2 linked regions of the Oryctolagus cuniculus genome follow. The protein of the gene in region 1 purifies or fractionates together with the protein of each later gene. This does not show direct contact. Links are inferred from orthologs where the notes say so. Each region holds a gene or a part of one and is shown on either strand. Other genes may lie near its edges. The genes, in order: CDC26 and NEK2.

The links.
Region 2: the proteins of CDC26 (region 1) and NEK2 purify together in Homo sapiens (affinity purification with mass spectrometry; 3 studies listed by BioGRID and IntAct, with this or other methods). This does not show direct contact. The link is inferred for Oryctolagus cuniculus from reciprocal best matches to the Homo sapiens genes CDC26 and NEK2.

What each region holds. Positions count from the first base shown.
Region 1 is NC_091432.1:216,873,105-216,884,772, forward strand, and holds the start of CDC26 (anaphase-promoting complex subunit CDC26), read right to left. Parts: upstream 7,823-11,668; 5' UTR 7,589-7,822; exon of another isoform or gene 7,136-7,588; intron 5,830-7,135; 5' UTR 5,727-5,829; intron 5,138-5,726; 5' UTR 5,098-5,137; coding exon 5,017-5,097; intron 1-5,016. UniProt on the Homo sapiens protein: Component of the anaphase promoting complex/cyclosome (APC/C), a cell cycle-regulated E3 ubiquitin ligase that controls progression through mitosis and the G1 phase of the cell cycle.
Region 2 is NC_091444.1:26,238,372-26,248,940, reverse strand, and holds the end of NEK2 (serine/threonine-protein kinase Nek2), read left to right. Parts: intron 1-195; coding exon 196-322; intron 323-1,149; coding exon 1,150-1,387; intron 1,388-3,449; coding exon 3,450-3,575; intron 3,576-5,865; coding exon 5,866-6,092; 3' UTR 6,093-6,629; downstream 6,630-10,569. UniProt on the Homo sapiens protein: Protein kinase which is involved in the control of centrosome separation and bipolar spindle formation in mitotic cells and chromatin condensation in meiotic cells.

The sequences.
Region 1 (11,668 bases):
TGCTGATCACTCTCTAGTCTACACTACCAGTAAGCGACATTAGAAGGTTCCACCCAAACACCTTTGTGAAAACAGGTTCTAAACAGCAAGGGACTGTCATTGAGAATATCCAATTGGAGTGAAATCATTTAAATGGCTTCCCAATCTGAACAACTGCAGAGTTTCACAATCCAGAGTCACAGTCATATGGGTGCCAGTTCAATTCCCGGCTACTCCACTTCCAATCCAGCTCTCTGCTAAGCCTGGGAAAGCAGTGGAGGATGGCCCAAGTCCTTGAGCCCCTGCACCCACATGGGAGACCCAGAAGAAGTTCCTGGCTCCTGGCTTTGAATCGGCCCAGATCTTGCCTTTGTGGCCATTTGGGGAGTGAACCAGATGGAAATCTCTCTCTCTCTCTCTCTCTCTCTCTAACTGCATCTTTCAATAAATAAATATATATATAAAAAAAAAAAAAAACAGACTTACACTGTGCCAGTCTTTGGGCCTCCAGCTGGGAACCAAAGCAGAGAAGAATGTATGAATTCCTGCCTTCAAGGAGCTTAGGGCCCAGCAGGGGCAATCAGAAACAACAAAAACACAACAGAGTGTGGTAGTGCCTAGGAGAGAAATCAGCAAAGGGCGAGGAGGTTGAACCTCATCCAGCGGCGGCTGGAAGGAGCTGAATCAAGAGATGAACAGGAGTCAGCCGACAAAGAAAGGCAAAGGGCATGTAAGGCGAGCGAACACAGTGAGCGTAGTGTCTGAGATTAAAGGCCACTGTAACCCAGCAGGGCAGGATGAAGTGGAGAGATGAGCATGGACCAGGTCACAAAGCGCCTCACATGCTATGCTCAACGGTTTGGACTTTATTCTGAAGGCCACTGAAGGACCTAAGTCTTATCAACAGATATCTAGTACTGTGTGCCATACTCTATACCAATGTTACATCTTTAAAAATGGATACTGAGGGGCTGGCGTTGTGGCGTAACGGTGTAGCCACTGCCCGTGACACTGGCATGCCATATGGGTGCCAGTTCAAGTCCCACTGCTCCAGTTCTGATCCAGCTCCCTGCTAATAGCCTGGGAAAGCAGAGGATGGCCCAAGTACTTGGGCCTCTGCACCCATGTGGGAGACCCAGAACAAACTCCTGGCTCCTGGCTTCAAATCAGCCCAGCTCTGGCTGTTGCAGCCATTTGAGGAGTGAACTAGCAGATGGAAGATCTCTTTCCCTATCTCTCCCTCTCTCTTTCTGTAACTGCCTTTCAAATAAATAAATAAATCTTTCTTTAAAAAAATGGATGTTGAGCTCCTACCTGCTACTGAGAACTCAACGGTGAAGCAGACATAATTTCTGCAGTCATGGTTCCTAATGTAAATTATTTTTACAATAAGCAAACAAGTAACACTGTAAATTACAATACATGCTTTAAAATATGCTTTATGATAATTAAAAATGAATCTTAATGAAGAACGGGATGGGCGAGGGAGTAGGAGGTGGAACAGTTTGGAGGTGGGAGGGTAGGTATGGGGGAAAGAACTGCTATATTCCAAAAGCTGTACCTATGAAATTTATATTTATTAAATAAAAGCTTTCTAAAAAAAATAAAATAAGCTTTATGAGAGCCTAATGAGGTGCAGGCAGCACGGACAGGAATGAAACTGCTAACTCAGGTAACAAAGAGGCCTCTGGGGCTGAGGAGGTGACACCTCACCTAAGACTGGAAGAAACTGACAGCACTCCAGGCAGAGGGAAGTTTGAGCCAAGGCCATGGCAGCAGTACTTCCACACGTTCCAGGAAATCAAAGAAGGCTACCGTGTGAGGGTAAAGAGGGCAAGGCAAACAAGTGCGAAGTGGAAACCAGAGAGGGACTAGAACAGAGGAAACCTTACAGGCCCTGGTGAAGAATCCTCTTTTATTCTAAGTACAGGGAACCACTGAGAAGTTTGTGTGTTTGTTCGTCTGTTTTACAAAGATTTATTTATGTGCTGGAGAGGCATAGTTACAGACGGAGAGAGGGAGAGAGAGATCTTTCATCTGCCGGTTCACTCCCCAAATGGCCAGAGCTGCGTTGATCTGAAGCCAAGAGCCAGGAGCTTCTTCTGGGTCGCCCACGTGGGTACAGAGGCCCAAGGACTTGGGTCATCCTCTGCTGCTTTCCCAGGTCTGGACTGGAAGTGGAGCAGCCGAGACTCAAACCTCAGCCCATATGGGATGCCGGCGCTACAGATAGATGCTTAACCTACTACGCCACAGCGCCTGCCCCCCACCCCCTGAGAAGTTTTTTGTTTTGTTTTGTTTTGTTTTGTTTTTTGACAGGCAGAGCAGACAGGGAGAGAGAGAGACAGAGAGAAAGGTCTTCCTTTGCTGTTGGTTCACCCCCCAGTGGCTGCTGCGGCTGGCGCACCGCGCTGATCCGAAGGCAAGAGCCAGGTGCTTCTCCTGGTCCCCCATGGGGTGCAGGGCCCAAGCACTTGGGCCATTCTCCACTGCACTCCCTGGCCACAGCAGAGAGCTGGCCTGGAAGAGGAGCAACCGGGACAGAATCCGGCGCCCCGACCGGGACTAGAACCCGGTGTGCCGGCGCCGCTAGGTGGAGGATTAGCCTAGTGAGCCGCGGCGCCGGCCATCCCTAAGAAGTTTTAAACAGTGGCATGACATGTCCTGAAATTTTTTAAAGCTCATTCTACAGCCGGTGCCGCAGCTCACTGGGCTGGTCCTCCACCTGCGGCGCCGGCACACTGGGTTCTATTCCCGGTCGGGGCGCCGGATTCTGTCCCGGTTGCTCCTCTTCCAGTCCAGCGCTCTGCTGTGGCCAGGGAGTGCAGTGGAGGATGGCCCAAGTGCTTGGGCCCTGCACCCGCATGGGAGACCGGGAGGAAGCACCTGGCTCCTGGCTTCGGTCGGCGTGGTATGCCAGCCGCAGCAGCCATTGGGGGGTGAACCAACGGAAAAGGAAGACCTTTCTCTCTGTCTCTCTCTCTTACTGTCCACTCTGCCTGTCAAAAATAAATAAATAAATAAATTTTAAAAAGCTCATTCTACGTACTTGAAGGAAAATGGGTTGAAGAGACAAAAATGGAAGCAGAAAGACCATTTATGATGCTGCCGCAATTACACAGAGAAGCAAGCAGTTGGACTAAGTTAAGACACCATGTTTAGGGGCTGGCGCTGTGGCATAGAGGGTATAGCCACTGCCTGCAGCGCCGGTATCCCATATGGAAGCCGGTTCAAGTCCCACCTGCTGCTCTTCTGGTCTAGCTCTCTGCTATGGCCTGGGGACCAGCAGATGGCCCAAGCACTTGGGCCCCTGCACCCACATGGGAGACCTGGAAGAAGCTCCTGGCTCCTGATCGGGTCAGCTCTGGCCATTGCGGCCATTTGGGGAGTGAACCAGTGGATGGACGACCTTTCTCTCTGTTTCTCCCTCTCTGTAACTCTCTCTCCCTCAAATAAATAAATATGTAAATCTTAAAAAAATTAAAAAGACACCCATGTTTCACATGGAAAGAGCTGGGAATGCAACCCACGTACCAGACCTGGGTTCCATTCCTGACTCCAACTCCTCACTCCCAACTTCCTGAGGACGGAGACCTGGGAAGCAGCAGTGATGGCCTGACTAACTGGAGTTCCTGCCATCCGCATGGGAGACCTGGATTATGTTCCCAGGTCCCCTCCCCGCTTCGGCCCCAGCCCAGTCCCAGCTGTTGCAGACATCTGGGTAATGACCCAGTAGATGGGAGTGCACTTGCCCTGTGTGTGTGTGTGTGTGTGTGTGTGTCTGGCTCTCAAATAAATACCTATGTGTGTGTGTACATAATTGTATATAGAGAGATAGTTGCTTGGAGTAGTACTGTTAACACTGCATATGAAAAGGAATGCATAAATCTAGATATATTCTGGAGGTAGAATTAAAGATTTATGGGTAGATTAAATATAAAGTGTGGGACCAGCGCCATGGCCAGTAGGTTAATCCTCCACCTGCGGCGCCGGCATCCCATATGGGTGCCGGTTCAAGTTCCAGCTGCCTCTCTTCCTATCCAGCTCTCTGCTGTGGCCTGGGAAAGGAGTGGAGGATGGCCCAGGTGCTTGGGCCCCTGCACCCACATGGGAGACCTAGAAGAAGCACCTGGCTCCTTCGGATTGGCACAGCTCTGGCCGTTGCAGCCATCTGGGGAGTGAACCAATGGAAGGAAGACCTCACTCCATCTCTCCTCTCACTGTCTGTAACTCTACCTCTCAAATAAATAAATAAAATTTTATATATATATATATGTGTGTATGTATGTGCATATATATATATATATATATATATATAAAGTATGAGGGGAACAGACTGCAGAATCGCTGCCAGGTTTCTGGCCTGAGCAATGGAATCGCTACTGAAATGGGGAGCACTGGGAGGGTCAAGGGGGTACACCAGGTTTGAGAGGGAAAATCAAGTTCTTTTTCTTTTCCAATATGTATGGCTTATAGGCTAAATACAGCCTCCAAAGCTATCAGGTCCTAATTCCTGGAACCTGTAAATGTCACCTTATATAGGAAAAAGGCCTTTGCAGTGGTGATAAATTAAAGATCTTCAGATGGGTACATTATCCTGGATGAGCCAAGTGGGCCCTGAATGTAATCACACATATCCTTGTAAGAGGGAGGCCGAGGGAGGTATCGCAGACAGGACAGGGGAGACAACGTGGCCATGGAGACACAACTGGAGTGAGGACGGTGGCCGCCCGGAAGCCAGCAGGGCCAAGGAAGGGATTCTCACAAGTGCCTCTGGAAGAATGTGGCCCTGCTGACACCCTGATTTCTGCCCAGCTGAACAGATTTCCCATTTCTGGCCTAAGGAGTCATGTAAGAATAAATTTCTGTTGTCTTGAGTCACTGAGTTTGTGGTACTTTGTTAGAGCAGCCACAGGATCTAACAGTAAAAGTCTGAGATGCCTGCAAAGGAGACAAATAGAGCTATTGGTGTAAGAGTCTGGAGTTCACAAGTTATTGTTTTAGCTATTCCTAAGGGTTTGAAAGTTGCACTCTTACCTCTAGGTCCTTTCGAATGCTCTCAAACTCTTCAATGTCATCAAGCTTGAGCTCCAAGCGCGTGGGTTTCCGTCGCAGCATACTGAAATCTACACTGAGAGCAGATCCAATCAACTATGAGCTATTAAAAATGACACAGAGAAAAACTGGAGGTGATACGTTGCAGTTACATACATAAGGCCAATTTCTACACATGTACACTAAAGTGAAGGCAATAGCAAAATCAAACTTGGATTCACACATAGATCTCTTTCTTTTTTTGAAAGGCAGAGTGACAAAGAGATGGAGAGGCACAGAGAGACAGAGATCTCTCATCCACCATAGTTCACTACTCCCATGGCCACAGTGTCTCTGGATGAGCCGGGCCAAAGCCAGGAGTCAGGAGTTCCATTGTTGTTTCCCAAGTGGGTGGCAGGGGTTCACACACACCGGCCATTATCTGGTGCTTTCCCAGGCACATTAGAAGGGAGCTGGACTGGAAGCAGAGCAGCCAAGACTCTGATATGGGATGCCATATTGCAAGATGTGGTTTACCTTCCGTGCCACAATGCCAGCCCCACACATAGATTTCTTAAGGCTTTAGGTGTATGCTTCTTACATTTGTATTTCATGATGGAGATCCACAACGCGGTGATTCAAAAACCTCTTTCTGAAAAAACTGAACACCAGCAAGCTGCCTATAAGAAAATTCTAGGCAAAACTGAACTCACCAATTCACAAGATTCTCTTCAGTGTCTCAATCAACCAGACAGATCATTCATTAGCAAAGACTTCTTGTGCTCCGGCTACAAAATTAAAAGGTACAGACACAACCTGTGGGAGAAACAGACACGTGAGGGGAAAATTAACAGCGAGGGGAGCAAGAACACTGATGAGAATACAATGGCAGCCATGCTGGCCCGAAAGCTGGACTAGGTGTGGGGTGGTGGCCAGGGATGTTAAACACGGCCTATGGCAGGAAATGATGTCTAAATGGAGTCTTAGTCGACATCTAAAGAGCAGGCAGAGAGAACAAGTGCACAAAGAAGCTCAAGAGAACAGTCTGAGTCAAGACAATACTTTTAACAAAAACCCTTTCTTTGAGCAAACAGAACTCCCCATCACGTTTAGTATCTGTTGAGGGGCACCTTCATGGCACCCAACAGAGTCTGTGTATGTACATTAGGCAGTCAGTAAACGTTCCCTGAATATAGGAAACAACTAAAGTAAAATGAACTTGAGTGAGCACTGGGCTAATTTTTCCATCACCATTCTTCACTTGCTTATTTTAATACGAAAACCCTGTGAGGCTGGCAAGATCGTCCTATTTTACAGAGAAAGAAGTCAAAGCAAGCTGTCCAGTCTGGCCTCCTGTAGGAGTCACACATAGGACCGTGGGGTGAGGATTAAATGAGACTGATGTAAATGAACGCCACTGGCTGTACCCAGGATGAAACCGGGGACTGAGAAGTGCATAAAAGAAGAAACATTTCCTCCTCCTCCCATGAAGCCTGAGACAGACACGCAGTGGTAACACAAAACATTACTTTTTTTTTTTTTTTTTTTTTTTTTTGCGGCTCACTAGGCTAATCCTCCACCTTGCGGCACCGGCACACCGGGTTCTAGTCCCGGTCGGGGCGCCGGATTCTGTCCCGGTTGCCCCTCTTCCAGGACAAAACATTACATTTCAATTTGCTTTGACTTAAATCTGATACTGTCCACCAGATTCCAATGCCGACAAGCAGCAGAGGAAAACGAAGTTCCAAATGGGGTGAGGAAGGGATACTGAGAAGATCGCTATGCATTTTAACTTTTCTGCGAAAACGAAAAGCCCACCACCACCACTAGGAAGCAGGGTAGAGACCCGGCTGAAGTGCTGGCTCCGATCCCTTTAAGTTTCCGATCTTTGTCTCGCACCAGACCTTCCTTGCCTCTATACTCTGTTGCTGTCTGAATTGAATGGCGTAATGCCGATTAAGCTCCTGGCTACACAACTGTGGTATTCAGTAAACGCTCAATAAATAACAGGCACTTATGACTGCAGTTGTTGGGGGCGGGGGGCGGAAGAGATAACGATGGGGGAGGGGGGTGTTCCAGCTCTGCAAACACGAACATTTTGAGTCTCCCACCCACTACATGCCTTGTTCATCGCTGATGCCCCCGCACCCAGAGGAGCACAGGGCTATGCAGGAGAGTCGGCTGCGGTCTACCCGACGCCTTCCTAGCCATCATCTCACTCAGTCTGACACAAAGACCCGGCTGAAGACGAAACAAAAGCAACAGCAAAACCGGGCCGAAGCTTCGCCCGCTCTTTACTTCACTTAGACGCTAGAGGGCTCTTTGAGCTTCATCTCTCACCGCTGCCCAAATCCACCGCAAACTGAGCCAGCTCGGCCGGAGCCCCCGGCCCCGGGAGGACTTTCCTCCCCACCCCCACCCCGACAACCCTCCTCGCCCAGCCCCAGGACCACACTCAGCGGTCCGGGCGATGGTTTCCATGGCAACATGGGCCTCCGCCCCGGGACGACGTAAAGTCTCTAGGAGCCCTCGGTAAGCTCCAGAGTTCAGCGCCCGGCCGCGCGACTTGACTCACCTTCCTCTCTCTCCAAGCCCGCTCAGCCCCTTCCCGGAAGGAACCTCAGCTCCCACCACGAATCTACTGCGAGCCCAACTGGACTACACTTCCCAGAGTGCTTCGCGCCCCTCTCCCCTCCAGAACCTCGTCTCCCGCGAGCTTTTCTCGGAGGTTCTAAGGGTCATGCCCCTCCACGCGACCAGAATAGTAACTACTACGACTCCCATGATGCTCCGCGCCGCTCAGGGCGCTGCGTCGGCGCCCGACTTCACTTCCGGTCCGTGACGTAGTTCCGCTTTGCTGGGCGCGCGGTGGATGGTCTGAAACGGAGAGCTTGGCTTTTTCTGGGGCTTGGCTGCTGCGGAGCCCAGCATGGCTTCGTCACGAGCGTCCTCCACGGTACGGAGCTCGGGATCTCAGTTCACTGCGGCAGGGAGCGCCGAGAGGGTGGGGGTCCCTCGGGGAAGGGTCCGTTAGGGAGCGGGCTGACAGGGTGGAGGGCTGCCGGACTCGGTCCTGCCCTCCAGAGCAGAGCAGCATTCCCCGGACCCTTGAGCGAGTGTATGTGCTGTTACTCGTATGCACCTGTCCCACCGCAGCCCCGAACGGCAAACACCACTTCCGACTGGTCCAAACCAGGGCTCCGGAGTGGGCGAGTGTCTTGGCCACGGTGGCTGTCTATAGGAGACCTCGGAATTGGGATGAGGCCTCCCGGCTCCTGCTCTGCTACCACAGGTCTCAAAACGCTTGAGATGGACCGAGCAGGAGCGTTGTCACTGGCTACCCCTCCCTCGGCACCACGCCGGTTCTTTTACCTTACCCTTGGTGTTTCCCCCCGTGTTAAACGGTAACCCTGGAAGTATCACGAAACCCAAAAAGAGCTTGCACTTCCAACAGAATGAAGTGATCGTCTTCCAGAGGCAGAACCACCCGGAGAACCGGGTTTAATCCACCTCTTCAAGCTGTCAAACTGGAAGTGATTGAAGGGCTGACGTGCCCTCCCGCCCCCATCCCCACACCCGCGGGTCCGTGAAGCGCATCTTCCCTGGCGCCCAGTTTGGCCTTTTGTTGGGGGAGGTCAGGATGAACTTCACCCTTTAGGGAAGCCTCGTGGATTGCTAAGATCGAGCCTTGAATTAATCGAAGCCTTCGGTCTAGCAGGCCACCAAAACGAAAGCGCCTGATGACCTGGTGGCTCCGGTGGTGAAGAAGCCACACATTTATTATGGAAGTCTGGAAGAGAAGGAAAGGGAGCGGCTGGCCAAAGGAGAATCTGGGATTTTGGGAAAAGAAGGACTTAAAGCAGGAATTGAAGCAGGAAATATTAATATAACCTCCGGTAAGATGACAGATTTCAGTCCATCTTTACCTTTACCTCCAGTTTTCTGTAATGCGTGCCTTCCTCAGCTTAGATAGCTGTAGTTTTATGTTACAAGTTTTCAATTTTTAAACTTGAATCTATAGACTCATATTTTGCTTACACTACCTAGCATCATCCAGGAGCCTTTTTTTTTTTTTTACAGAATTTTTTTTTTTTTTTTTTTTTGGACAGCCAGAGTGGACAGTGAGAGAGAGAGACAGAGAGAAAGGTCTTCCTTTGCCGTTGGTTCACCCTCCAATGGCCGCTGCGGCCAGCGCACCACGCTGATCTGAAGGCAGGAGCCAGGTGCTTCTCCTGGTCTCCCATGGGGTGCAGGGCCCAAGCACTTGGGCCATCCTCCACTGCACTCCCTGGCCACAGCAGAGAGCTGGCCTGGAAGAGGGGCAACCGGGACAGAATCCGGCGCCCCAACCAGGACTAGAAGCCGGTGTGCCGGTGCCGCAAGGCGGAGGATTAGCCTAGTGAGCCGCGGCACCGGCCCTACAGCTTTTAATATACTGTTTTTCCCATGAATTATTAGTTCTTTTACCAGAAATTTTTTCAGTGCACATTTGGGATTTAAGTGGTTACATTTGTCTCTTGGAGAGCTAACATCATTCCAGCTTTGGTTTGAAACTAGAATAGTTTATAATGCTCTCCTGTTTTTAGTTCTCCAGTTATTTTTTACCCCCAAAATTATTTAAATATAAAAGTAGCAGTTTGTTATTTTGAAAGATGAAATGATGTGAGCAGGTGTTTGGCCTGGGGGTTAAAATGCCACTCGGGATATTTGCATGCTCCAGTTCAGCTCCCAGCTCCGCTTCAGGTTCCAGCGTCCTGCTGATGCACACCATAGGTCCAGGCTAAAGTGCTTGGACTCCTACTGCCCATGGGAGACATCCAGATTAAGTTCCAGGGTCCTGGCTTGGACCTAGCCCAGCCCTGGATGTTACAGGCATTTGGGAAGTGAACCAGCCCAAGAAATATCTCTCTCTATCTCTCAATCAAAAGGAAAATAAGTAAGTAAACATTTTTAAAATGAATTGATTAAAAGATCATACAGTGTATAAATGTGCAGAGTAAGAAGTCCTGTATTCTTTAATATCTTTAAAAATTAAAAAAAAAGTTTATTATATTTATTTGAAAAAGCTAGAGAGAGAGATTCTCCATCTGCTGGTTCACTCCCGAAATGGCCACAATGGCTAGAGTTGAGCTGATCCAAAGCCAGGAGCCAGGAGCTTCTTCCAGGTCTCCCACGTGGGTGCAGGGGCCCACGGACTTGGGTCATCCTCTGCTGCTTTCCCAGGTGCATTGGCAGGGAGCTGGATCAGAAGTGGAGTGACGCAGACTCGAATTAGTGCCCATAATAGGATGCCGGCGCTGCAGGCCAAGGCTCACTGTGCCACAGCACCGGCTCCTCTTTATGCTTTTCTGTATACACCTTTCTGAGAATTTTGATACAGTTAGAAAAATACATAGTTTTTTCCATAAGTGAAATTGTGATACATAAATTATTTTGTAACCTACATTTTTCACCCTACATATTGTTAAGGATATCTTTTCCTGTCAGTAACAAGCAGACCACTTTTTTTTTCAATAAGGTTTCATAGCACCAAGCCTGTTTTGTTTTTCTTTCTTTTTTTTTTTTTTATTAAAGATTTATTTAATTATTTGAAAGTCAGAGTTACACAGAGAGAGAAGGAGAGGCAGAGAGAGAAAGAGAGGTCTTCCATCCGCTGGTTCACTCCCCAGTTGGCAGCAACAGCCAGAGCTGTACCAATCTGAAGCCAGGAGCCAGGATCTTCTTCCGGGTCTCCCACACGGGTGCAGGGGCCCAAGGACTTGGGCCATCTACCGCTGATTTCCCAGGCCATAGCAGAGAGGTGGATCGGAAGTGGAGCAGGTGGGACTCAAACCAGTGCCCATATGGGATGGCGGCACTGCAGGCAGCGGCTTTACCTGCTAGGCCACCACGCCAGCCCCATAGCCACTCTGTTTTTCAAATAAAATTATATCCATCTGTAGTAAGAAATTGAAAAAGGGCATGAAGTGAAGACGCCTTTCCTGAGACCACTTGTGTGGAGTTTCTCGTTGGTCCTCCCACTTGGCTGCTCTTCCTCATACGTGCACATCTGTGACTCTAAACCTTTATGCTGTTTCTAACACCTGTTCTGAAACACCACCGTACCTCTGTTTTCGTCCAAATGCTTCTGTTTGTAAGGTTTTTACACTAGTTGCTAAATAAAACAAAAAAACTCATAGTCACAGAAATCTCATTTTCATGACAGTTATTTCCAGGTAACTGATCAGAGTTGGTAAGTGTCCCTAGTCGGGGACTGTTTTAGAGAATAGCATTGGCAGTTGTTAAAATAACATTTCTTTTTGTTTGTTTTAAGATTTATTTCTTTATTTGAAAGACAGTTACAGAGAAAGAGGGAGAGAGAGGGATCTTCTATACGCTGGTTTATTTTCCAAATGGTCACAATGACCAGGCTGGGCCAGGCTGAAGCCAGGAGCCCAGAACTCCATTTAAGTCTCCCATGTAGGTGGCATGGTCCTAAGTATTTGAGCCATCTTTTGTTGCTTTCCCAGGCTCATTAGCAGGGAGCTGGATTGGAAGTGGAGCAGCAGGACTCATATCAATGCTAGAACTGCAGCTTAACCCACTGCTCCACAAGGCCAGCCCCTAAAATAACATTTTTGTCATATCTTTTTGATAGAAGGCTTGGTTAATTCAT
Region 2 (10,569 bases), on another chromosome or scaffold:
TGTAAAACGCCCTTGAATACATGGAAGATCATCCACAGCAAAGAGCTAAGTTACTACCAGTGTCGGTGGTGCCAAGGTTGGGAAACTCGCTATCGGCAAAAATCCTAGTGGTAGAAATGCAAATACAAACTGTACTTTGGATTTGGTTCCTAGCATATATTTTCATTTTTACTTTTTTTTTTTTTTTAACTCCAGGCCTCCATTTACAGCTTTCAACCAGAAAGAACTAGCTGGGAAGATCAGGGAAGGCAAATTCAGGCGAATTCCGTACCGCTACTCGGATGAACTGAATGATATTATCACGAGGATGTTAAATTTGAAGGTAAAGGTCTTAAGATTTTGCCTTGTTTCTGTCTCAAATCCTGCGGTCTGTGGTCTCTTGTGGAGTGATGGAGAATGAAACACCCTGGATCGGATTTCCTTAGCTACATGTAGCCGGTTCAGTCAATCGGGCACATTGCGCACCCTTGCCCCTCTCCCCTCTGCACGGCCCTGGTTTTCCCTCCCACTCTCAGCACGCTGACAGGTGGTTGGCAGCAAGGAAGGTAACAGAAGAGAGCTGGATCCTCGGTTCCCCTGGCTTTGCCTCCCTCTCCGAGGCAGGTGGTGGGGAAGGGCCAGGGACGGGACTTTCCTGTGCTGCCTCCAGCTCGGGATGAGAGGGGAGAGCGCAGAAGAGGAAGGGCAGGAGGAGACAGCAGAAGAGGGGAAGCCACAGGGATAAGCGGATTTCGTGGAGAAACTTTGAACGTGGGATGGAGGAAGGAGGCTGAGGTGAGGGGGAGGGAAAGTGCCCCAGGGTCGCAGAGGACACAGGCGGAGTGGGGGGGGGAGGAGGCTGGTGAACGGGCGTCCTGTGCCCTTTCGCCCGGAGATGCCAGGACAGTGCTTGCCCCAGGGCTACCAAGCACCAGCACGAGGTGTGCCGTGGTACTTCGAAGGGGGAAGGGATGGGTTGCAGCTGCGTGACCCCATGGACCCGGAAGCTCATGGGTGAAAACCGGCAGTGAGCTTGTCTTTGAGCTAAGAGCTGTCCAGAGAGGAGCGCTTTCTTCTGCTTCGGCGGCGCGTGCCCTTGTCGTGTCAGGCTCCCTTGGGGTAGCTGTCTCGCCGGGCCCTCTGACTGCAGCCTCAGTACTGTGCCCCCAGGACTACCAGCGGCCCTCTGTGGAAGAGATCCTGCAGGACGCTTTGATAGCGGACTTGGTTGCCGAAGAGCAAGGACGAGCTCTTGAGAGAAGAGGGCGGCGACCAGGAGAGCCGGAAAAGTCGCAGGAGTCCAGCCCGGGGCTCAGCGCCGGCCCCGGGCTCAGCGAGCTGAGGCTGAAAGAGCTACAGTTGCAGGAGCGAGAGCGGGCCCTCCAGGCCAGAGAGGACCGACTGGAGCGTAAGTCTAAGTCGGGAAGGCGGCGGGGGTCCGGGGCGGGGAGCCCGCACGAGGACGCTGGATATGCGTGGATATTTCCGTGAACGGAACATGCGTGGGGCTTCTCTAGAACCTTCCTGTGTGTTCCAGACTAGATCATCAGACTCGCAGGCGCTTTCGCCTTAGATAGCTTTCTCTCAAATCGGCTGCCAGACACATTTTGTTTTACTGTAGAGTTGATTTTTTTCTTATCTTTAAGATAAATACCCTAAAGTTTTTTGTTTTGTTTTGTTTTTGTTTGTTTGTTTTTTAAGATTTTAAAAATCTATTTGTAAGGCAGAGTGACAGGGAAAGAGGGATCTTGCACTTGCTGGTTAACTCATGCCCAAACGGCTGCAACAGCTAGGACTGGGCCAGGCCAAAGTGAGGAGCCGGGAACTCCATCCTGATCTCCCACCTAGGTGGCCGGGGCCCGTGTACTTGGGCCATCACGGGCTGCCTTTCGGGTGCATTAGCAGGAAGTTGGATCAGAAGCAGAGCAGCCAGGACTTGAACTGGGCTCCAGTACGGAGTGCCGTAGTCGCAGGCAGCAGCTTAACCTGCTGTGCCACAGCGCCGTCCCTGTGAAGTTCTTCCATGGTGAAAGAAGACCTTGGGGCAAGCCTTTGACACAGCAGTTAAACTGCCTCTCGGGACTCCCGCCTCCCGTGTCGAGTGTCTGGGTCGAGTCCCGGCTGCGCTCTGCAGTCCAGCTTCCCAGTAATGCACACTTTGGGAGGCAGCAGGTAAGAGCTCACGTTGCATCCCAGCCACCCACGTGAGAGACCCAGATGGAGCTTCTGGCTCCTGGCTTTGGCCTGGCCCAGCCCTGGCTGTTGGTGGCCACTGGGAGAGTGAACCAGCAAATGAGCACTCTGTCTCTTGTCTCTGCATTTCCAATAAAAGATCATAAGTAAAAAGGTTTTCAAAGTTGCTGCCTTCCATAATAAAAACCATGACTTCTACCTTGTGCAGGGTCTACGCCAACACAGTTCCGGGTCTGAAGTCCTGGGAGTGCCTAGGAGTGAGCTACCCTGAGGCAGTTGGGCATATGGGTGTGAGATCGCCTAGGTTAATAAATAATACCTGCTGGGTGTTGGCGCTGGCTCCATGAGTGCTGACTGATACGGTGCCAGTTAGTCTGTGATGCTGCAAGTCTGTCTGCGCCACCCAGAGCTGCCAGTGCGATTTTAGGGCCATGCGAGGCAGCGGCAGCAGTGGAAGTCTTCCCGTGAACACAGGAGACGAGGGCTGGGGCTGTGGCCGCCTCCTGCTGCCCCCTGGCTCACTGACTCTGCCGCTGCAGCTTTAGGCACCATGCAGGCTCTAAGCTCTTTAATGCTTAAATGCTCTCGTAACGCACACGGTGCGTTTGTTAACATTTTCCTCCCTGACGCTAACGGCAAAGTGCCGTCGAGGAACGGGAGCTGGGCTAAATCCAACCTTTGCTCACCGAGAGACTTTGTTGACTCCTCCAACCAAAGAATTCTGCAAAAAATGAAAATAAAAACACAGGCATCATCTGAAAATTGGCCCCCGTGTCCGGTAACCTCCCGCGGCAGCTGAAGCGCGAACACTGAATTTTGGGCCGGGAGTGGAGTTGCCATCGTTTCTGTTTAGAGCTGCTTGCTGCTGCCTTCCCTTCCACTCGGTGCCGTGCACCAGCCAGCAGAGGGAGAGTCCGTCCCCACTGTCCCCACCGTCCTGTCGCCGCCCCGGCCAGGAACTGTCGCTTGTTTTCAGTCACAAGCAGACATGGTTTTTGTGTTTACCCTCTCAGTCAGCTCCCACACAGCCTGACCCAGGGTTGGAGCTAACGTCGTTGGGCTTAAACAAGTCCTTGCAAGAAAACCCAAGCTGACCTACAACGAATCAGAACAGAGGCTCTAGCATACTCGGGTTGAGCAGGGACTCTGCTAAGAAATCGCTCTCAAAGCATTGCTACTCAGGGCCCAGGCACCTAGAGGTAGTGATTAGAAAGAGCAGTAAAACAACCAAATGTGAATTGTCGTGTTTTTTTTTTTTTTCCATGCCCCTTTTATAGAGAAGGAACGTGAGCTCTGTGTCCGTGAGAGGCTAGCAGAGGACAAACTGGCTCGAGCAGAAAGCCTGGTGAAGAACTACAGCTGGCTGAAGGACCGCAGGCTCCTGTCTCTGGGGAGCAATCCAGGTATGAGAACCGACTCCCTAACCCGGAGCTGGTGCTACCAATGAAGACGTGTGCCGGTGGCACCCGAGGTGGCTTTGCTAACCCTCCTAATGTACAGAGTCCCAAGTACATTCAAGGTGGATTTCCTTGAATTGATGCATATCCATGGAAATAAAATTCTATTATGGTGATGATTTATTGACTGGGTTCATTGACCTGAGGCAATGAATCGTAGGACTTCCTCTTAGGTTGAATTCACATGATCAGACCCCGTGGTTAGTGTTTGACATTTATTTTTAAAATTTGAGCACGTTTAAAAACTGCATTTCAGAGTTTTGCTCTGGTGTATTTTCAAAACTCTACGTCTCTCTATATTTTCAAGTGAAAATCCTGGCGTTTTAACACTGGCACACCTCGTGCTTTATAGAAAGGGTGGCCTAAAAGGCACGTTCCCTGCCAGTTGGGTGTTTTTATACTATTTATTGCAGCTTTCCTGGACTCCACACTGCCCTCTGACGCCAGACTAGACTGACTCGTGGTTAGGAGGGTAAAACACAGAGGGAATCACACCTGCGGGAGCCTCCGCGTGGGAGCGGCTGCAGGCCCTCAGCCGGGGTTGCTTACATCCTGCCCGCATAGGAGTTGACCAGAGGGTGAAAATAGCTCGATAAGGATGGGGGTTCACCCTATAGGACACAGGGGTAGGTGTGGGATCCACTGTGTGTGAATCACGGCCAGTACTTAAAATGAGCTGTGGGAGCTGTGACTCCGCTGGGCTGGGAGGCACCGAAGGCGCTGAGCCGCTCAGAACATGAGATGCACACCGGGGCCGTGAGGAGTGGGCGATCCTGTGACCTCAGGACAGCAGGAAACACCCTCACCCCACCCTCGGCCTACAGGATCCAGACGAGCGGAAGACATCACGAGTCTGTCCAGTTCAACACCATGAGCCTCGGCAGCTTTTCTTAAAAATCATTCTTTGTCCATTTAGCGGAATACCCATTCTTCTATTTTTTTTAAAAAAAGATTTATTTATTTGTTTGACAGGCTGAGTTACAGAGAGAGAAGAGAGACAGGAAAAGAGATACCTTCCATCCACTGGTTCACTCCCCAAATGGCTGCAATGGCCAGGGCTGGGCCAACCAGGAGCCAGGAGCTTCCTCCCTGTCTCCCACGTGGATGCAGGGGCCCAAACACTTGGGCCGTCTTATACTGCTTTCCTAGGCCATTAGCAAGGGGCTGGGTGGGAAGTGGAGCAGCCGGGGCTTGAACTGGTGCCCATATGGGATGCCGGACTGCAGGTGGCAGCTTAACCCACCGCACCACAACGACACCACGACAGCCCTTGTGAAACAGGAATTCTTTTTCTAAACACTTGGAGCACTCCCGCACCCGAAGTGGGTGCAACCGGCCCGAAGCACTCCTCAGCCCAATGGCCCGATGGCCCGTGCCTCTGACCGCCTCACTTTGATCAGATCTTCCCCCAGAAGTCTCAGTAGGAGGCTTTTTCTGTCACCACAGCCACCGCCCAGTTCGTCTGTCCCACTGCACGTGACGCTGTCACTCACTCCCCCTCTGCACTTGTTCATTTGTTTATGGGCGGCCTCCTCCCGCTAGGATTGGGTCTTTGTTTGGCTCCCAATGCCCCATGCTGTGAGTTCAGTAAATACCTGAACACATTTCCTCTAAGGGCACACAGAGGAGCAATAACAAGGTTCTGGATTCTGAACCTGCACGCCCCCAGCCCCCGACCTGGTCTGTCCGTCTTCTGGGAGCAGTGTCCCGAGTCCGCATGCATGGGATTGGTCTGGGTCGCATACAAAGCTCAGGCCTCCTTTTCCACTGCTCTGCTCCTGGATTTTCCTTTCTCACGCTGAATTGGCTTAGGCTCTTTTTGAAATAAGTTTCTGGTGGATTAAACTGCTTTGAGCTGAGGGTTCTTGAACACTTAAATCTGTAAAAAAGGAGCTTCTGCGGCTATGCCTTTCTGAGTGTGACGTCTTGCATAGAATGGCCGTTGTTTTTAAGAATAGCAATAAATCACACTGGCTTCCAGAAGTCTGATGTTGTGGCCATGGCCCCTGCGCCTTGCCGCCTTGCCGGTGAGAGAGTAGACACATGTTCCTTGATGTGGACACACTCCAGGGTTGGTTTTCAGTGCGGTGGATTCCTGCCGGCCCAGAGACCGCGGACCTCCAGCTGCACCCCGGGAGTGGCCGTCCTGTGCTAAGTGTGGTGAGTACGCAGGAGTGGAGCTCCCATTCAAGTAACTCACAACCCTTTTCTTTTCTTTTTCCTTTTCTTTCTAAAGAGCTTCTCGATCTTCCATCCTCAGTAATTAAGAAGAAGGTTCATTTCAGTGGGGAAAGCAAAGAGAACATCGGGAGGAGTGAGGACCCCGAGAGCCATCTCACCTCCAAAGCCAAGTGCAAGGACTTGAAGAGGAGGCTGCACGCTGCCCAGCTGCGGGCTCAGGCCCTGTCGGATATTGAGAAAAACTACCAGCTCAAGAGCAGACAGATCCTGGGCATGCGCTAGGCCGTGCGCGCCAGCCCCTTAACCATGGACATCCAGCTGCTGCCGCTTGCTGTGCTTGGGCCACGAGCCGTGGCTTTGCGTGTCGTGAGCCTGATGCTTCAGAGTCGCCGTGCTATTCTACAGCAGCCGCTGTACGAGCGCCTGGGCTGTGTCTTCCTTCCTTCCAAACCTGGCGTCTAATCCTGTGCGTGCCGTGACTACTGCTTAGGAGCGTGAGCTGTAGCGTTCTAGATCTCAGGGGAAAACACACGCACGCAGGAGTGGCACGTCCTGGGCATCTTGAATGTCTGCGGGCTGCGCTGAACAGTTGCCGTGTGTAGTTTTAAGGGTGAGACTTTGGATGTCCTTGAACTTAGAGAGCTGAATTGAATGTAATTCAGTCACTGTACCAGCGCATCCTGCTCCCGACTGTGCCAGTGCAGTGCGAGCCGTTACCTTTGTGAGCTCGTGGCTGGGATGACTGCTCTTTTGGTCCCTTTTGTTCTCTGCTGTTCACCCCCACCGTTGGCCACTAAATAAAAGAGTCCTTCCGTTTTGCTTCTGTCTCCTGGATTCTGTGATCTCAGTAGGATAGAGGGAAGCGTGTTTGTAACTTAGGGGCCTTGTAGAGTAGGGAAGAGAACGCGACTCTGATGTCAAGAGGCCACTCTGCTCTTCCGTGGGCGTGGCTCCCCACGAGCCGCCTCCCTGGGGCACGGAGGCCAGGGGTCCTGAACCGCATGATTTGCTCCTGCGGGTGTTTGGCCTGGAGACCCTGCTGATGGTCATCACTGGGGACGTTGCTGCTGGTGCGGGGGGCAGAGAGTGGGCGTGTCGCGCAGCCCCTGCAGTGCACAGGGCAGCCAGCCCCGACGACGGCTTCCACAACGGCCCCTGCAGGGACCCAGCCTGAGCCGGAACCTGCTGGGGCACACCCCCCCACCCCCTGGGAGCAAACTCAGTTTGGACGTTGGTGAGTGTTTTAAAAATACGTCTGCCTTTTAGTGTGCGTTAGCAGTCCTTGTGGTCCATCGCGTTTTCCATGTGGTGTTTTGTGGGCAGTGTTAATCCTTTTGTACAATAAGACCAAATTGTGAAAGCTCAAGAAGGAAGAGGAAATAGCTCCTTTATGTGTTACACAATTGGTAATGTAATCCCACCAAAGGCAAGTGATGACGTTATCCAAACCATCAGAAACTGACGGTGCCTTTATGGTGTATGCCTAGGGGACCATTTTGACATGACTGTTGAGTGTGACTTCCAGCCTGCTCTATAGCTTGCAAAGCGCAGGCCTACGGAAACCGTGTGACCCGTCACAAAGCAGCAGCCGACTCCCATCCAATCCTTAGAGAGTTCGACCCTTTCTTCTAAGCTGTCTCTGCTCAATGTGCGCTGCCTTACTATTTGCTATTCTAAGTAAAGAAGACATTGTTAATGAGCACCAATACTAGTCCTCTTTATTTAGCACAAAGCCAGCATCCAGTGCAAAAAGCAGAGCACTTAGCTCACGTGTGGCACCACGGAAACGACCCCATTCCTATTTTGCGGCGCTGGCCCTGAGGGAGCCCTATGAAGCTGGACCTTTAGAGGCATCAGAGACCCATGGTTCCGACATTAGCTTCATCCTCCCAGCCCCACTCCAGTCACCAGACCTGTGCAACGTCGGCTCTTTGGAAGCTGAGGCAGACTTCTTCCTGTTCCGTAGGCCACTGCCCCAACCCCTGGCAGGGAGACCACCCCAAGGACCTTGGTGCCTCCAAACGGGAACCTTCTTTGTACCTGGATCAGCGTGCCAGGATGGCCCTCGTCAAGACATGGGCTCCACTGGCTCCACTGGCCATGGGGGGAGGAGAGATGGATGGGGGCAGCTGGTGCTCTGCCCTGTCTTGAGATGCTTTGGGGCCGTCAGCCTTCTCCTGCCGGTGTGCAGGGCCCTGCTGGGAGAGCGGTCAGGAAGCATGGCAGAAAGGGGAGGGGGCGGGGCCCAGGGCGCCAGGGGCAGGAGAGTCTGGGAGGTGGCAGGAGATGGGACCATGAGACAGCTGAGACTGAGTCCATTCCCCACTGCCACCCATCTCCCCCTCCTCCCCACCCCATGCTCCATCGTCCGTCAGATTTTTCCTACAAAAGATAATTCAAAGATACAACTATTATGAATTTCAAGGCTGCAACCACAGACAACCAGACACCAAGTGCTGGGCCTGCTGCCTGGTCAGTTACCTGTGAAACCTGCCTTTGGAAAATTCCTCTCCTATCATAATGTTTTTCCCTTTCATTTTGAAACCTGTAGCATGCGAGGTGGTTGGACACCTTCCCAGCCCAGATCCCACCTTTATTTCATTCATTCCAGCAGTCACTCAACAGTTACTGAGCACCTGCTGTGAGCCAGGCACTAGGAAAGTGCTGAAGATCAGCCACAGAGACACTGGAGTCCTCACCCTTACTGTTATGCATCCCAGTGGGCCAGGGCATTAGACACTCAGCCCCACGTGGGGCAGGCTAGGGGTCGCACAAGGAGGGGAATAAAGCAGGAAGGAACCGCAGGGGCTGAGGGCGTGTCGCGGTGTTAGAATTAGCAGCATGTCAGGAAGAGGAGAAGCTAAGGAGAGGCTGGGGTGGACCAGGAAAGGAAAGGGGGGGGGGAGGGGTTGAGTTGGGTGGGGGAGCTGTGGAGGAGGGATGGAGGGAAGGGAAGACCGCAGGGACCAGGGTGGGGGGATTGGGCAGAAGTTTGGCAACCGAGCGGAGACTTTTTACGATCGGTTATGCATCCTCTCTTCTCACTCTTACAGCCAGCAAAACTTGGCTTCCCTGCTAGGGCCGAGAACCCCCGAGGTATTTGAGCAACCATGGTAGATAGAAGGGGGGGGGGGCTTTTGGATGAACATTTGTGTTCTCCCAAATGCTAATGAAACACCTAACACTTAGAGAGTTTATGTGTTTGCCCTATGACTACAGCCAAACTCAGCGTGCACCTGGTTAAAAAAAAAAAAAAAGTCACTGGATTTGCGAAAGAACAGGCAGCAGCTGTTCTGATAGACACCACAAGGTGGCGCTATGGTCTGAGAGACCAGCAGCCCCAGCGCTTGGCAGTGACGGGTTTTACCGCAACCCCTGGTTACATCTGCCTGGTATCTGGTTCAGTTCTCAAAGCACCCCTTTGAGATAGATATCATTAGTGTCAACGTTTCACACAGGGTACAGCTAGTTTCTTTACTTTTTTTTTTTTTTCAGAGGCAGAGAGAGAGAGATTCCATTGTCTGATTCACTCCCCAAATACCCATGATGGCTGGGACCACCTGGGTTAAAATTGGGAGCCAGGAACTCCATCTAGGTCCTCCACGTGGGTGGCAGGGGTCCCAACTGAATGAGGCATCACCTGCTGCCCCCCAGGGTGCAGGGCAGTAAGAATCTGGGATCGGGAGCAGAGATAGCCATCCAGGATCCAGGACTCTGGAGTGGGTCCAGCAGGGTCTTAACCACTGGGCCAAACGCCCGCCCACCGCTGGGTTCTGAACCCACCTTTTTGACTCCAAAGCTCGTGCGTTGTTGGTAGCCCACTGCTGCCCAGGTGCACCCTCCCCTCCAGACCAGGTGCCTCCCTTTAGGCGAGAGAGTGCCCTCAAAGACTCACGCATGGGCTGCCCGCTGAGCATGGGTGAATGGGTGAACAGAATTGGGTGAATGGAAGCAGTGACATGGGGCAGCTGTTCCATGAAGAACGACAGGGGCCAGGTGTGTGGCGCAGCAACTGAGTCTCCTCTCGGGACACCCGCATGCCTCGCTGGAGAGCCTGCTACTCCGCTTCCGATCCGGCTTCCTGCCGACGCTAACCCCGATGATGGCCCAAGTTCTGGGGCTCCTGCCACCCCCCTGGGAGACCTGGGTGGAGTTCCTGGTTCCCGGCTTTGGCCTGGCCCAGCCGCTGCTGTTGCAGGCATTTGGGGAGTGAGCCAGTGGATGGAAGATTCTCTCTCTGTCTCTCTGATGTCTCTCTTTTTACCTTCCGAATAAAATAAAAATAAATGAACTTGAAATTAACAAAAAACAATAAAGAGAATCGAGGCTGTACCAGTGAGGAAGGGGTCAGCCTTGGTGGCTGGGAAGGTAGGGTGTCACAAGGAGAATGAAGTCAGCCCTCCCAGGGGGACTTGTGCAGATGGCCGCAGATGTGCCCCTCCCCCACCTCGTCCTCCACAGCCTCACCCCAACCTCACCTCGGGGAGCCCCAGAGCCTCCTAACTCAACCCTGGACTCAACATCGACCGAGGGGCGGCCAGGAAAGCTTGGGGCCTGCGCATCTGACACCACAGCCTTAGCCACCACCCGGGCCTCCCCAGGCCAAGGCTGAGCATCCTGGCTCCCCACGCCACCTGCCCTGGGGCCCCGAGACAGCTCCGGGCCCTCTCCCTGCAGCCGGGTGCTGAGCAACAGCAGGAAATGGGCGCAGAGGCTGCTGCTCACGCCATTCAAAATCCCTGTCCTTTCCTGAAATTTC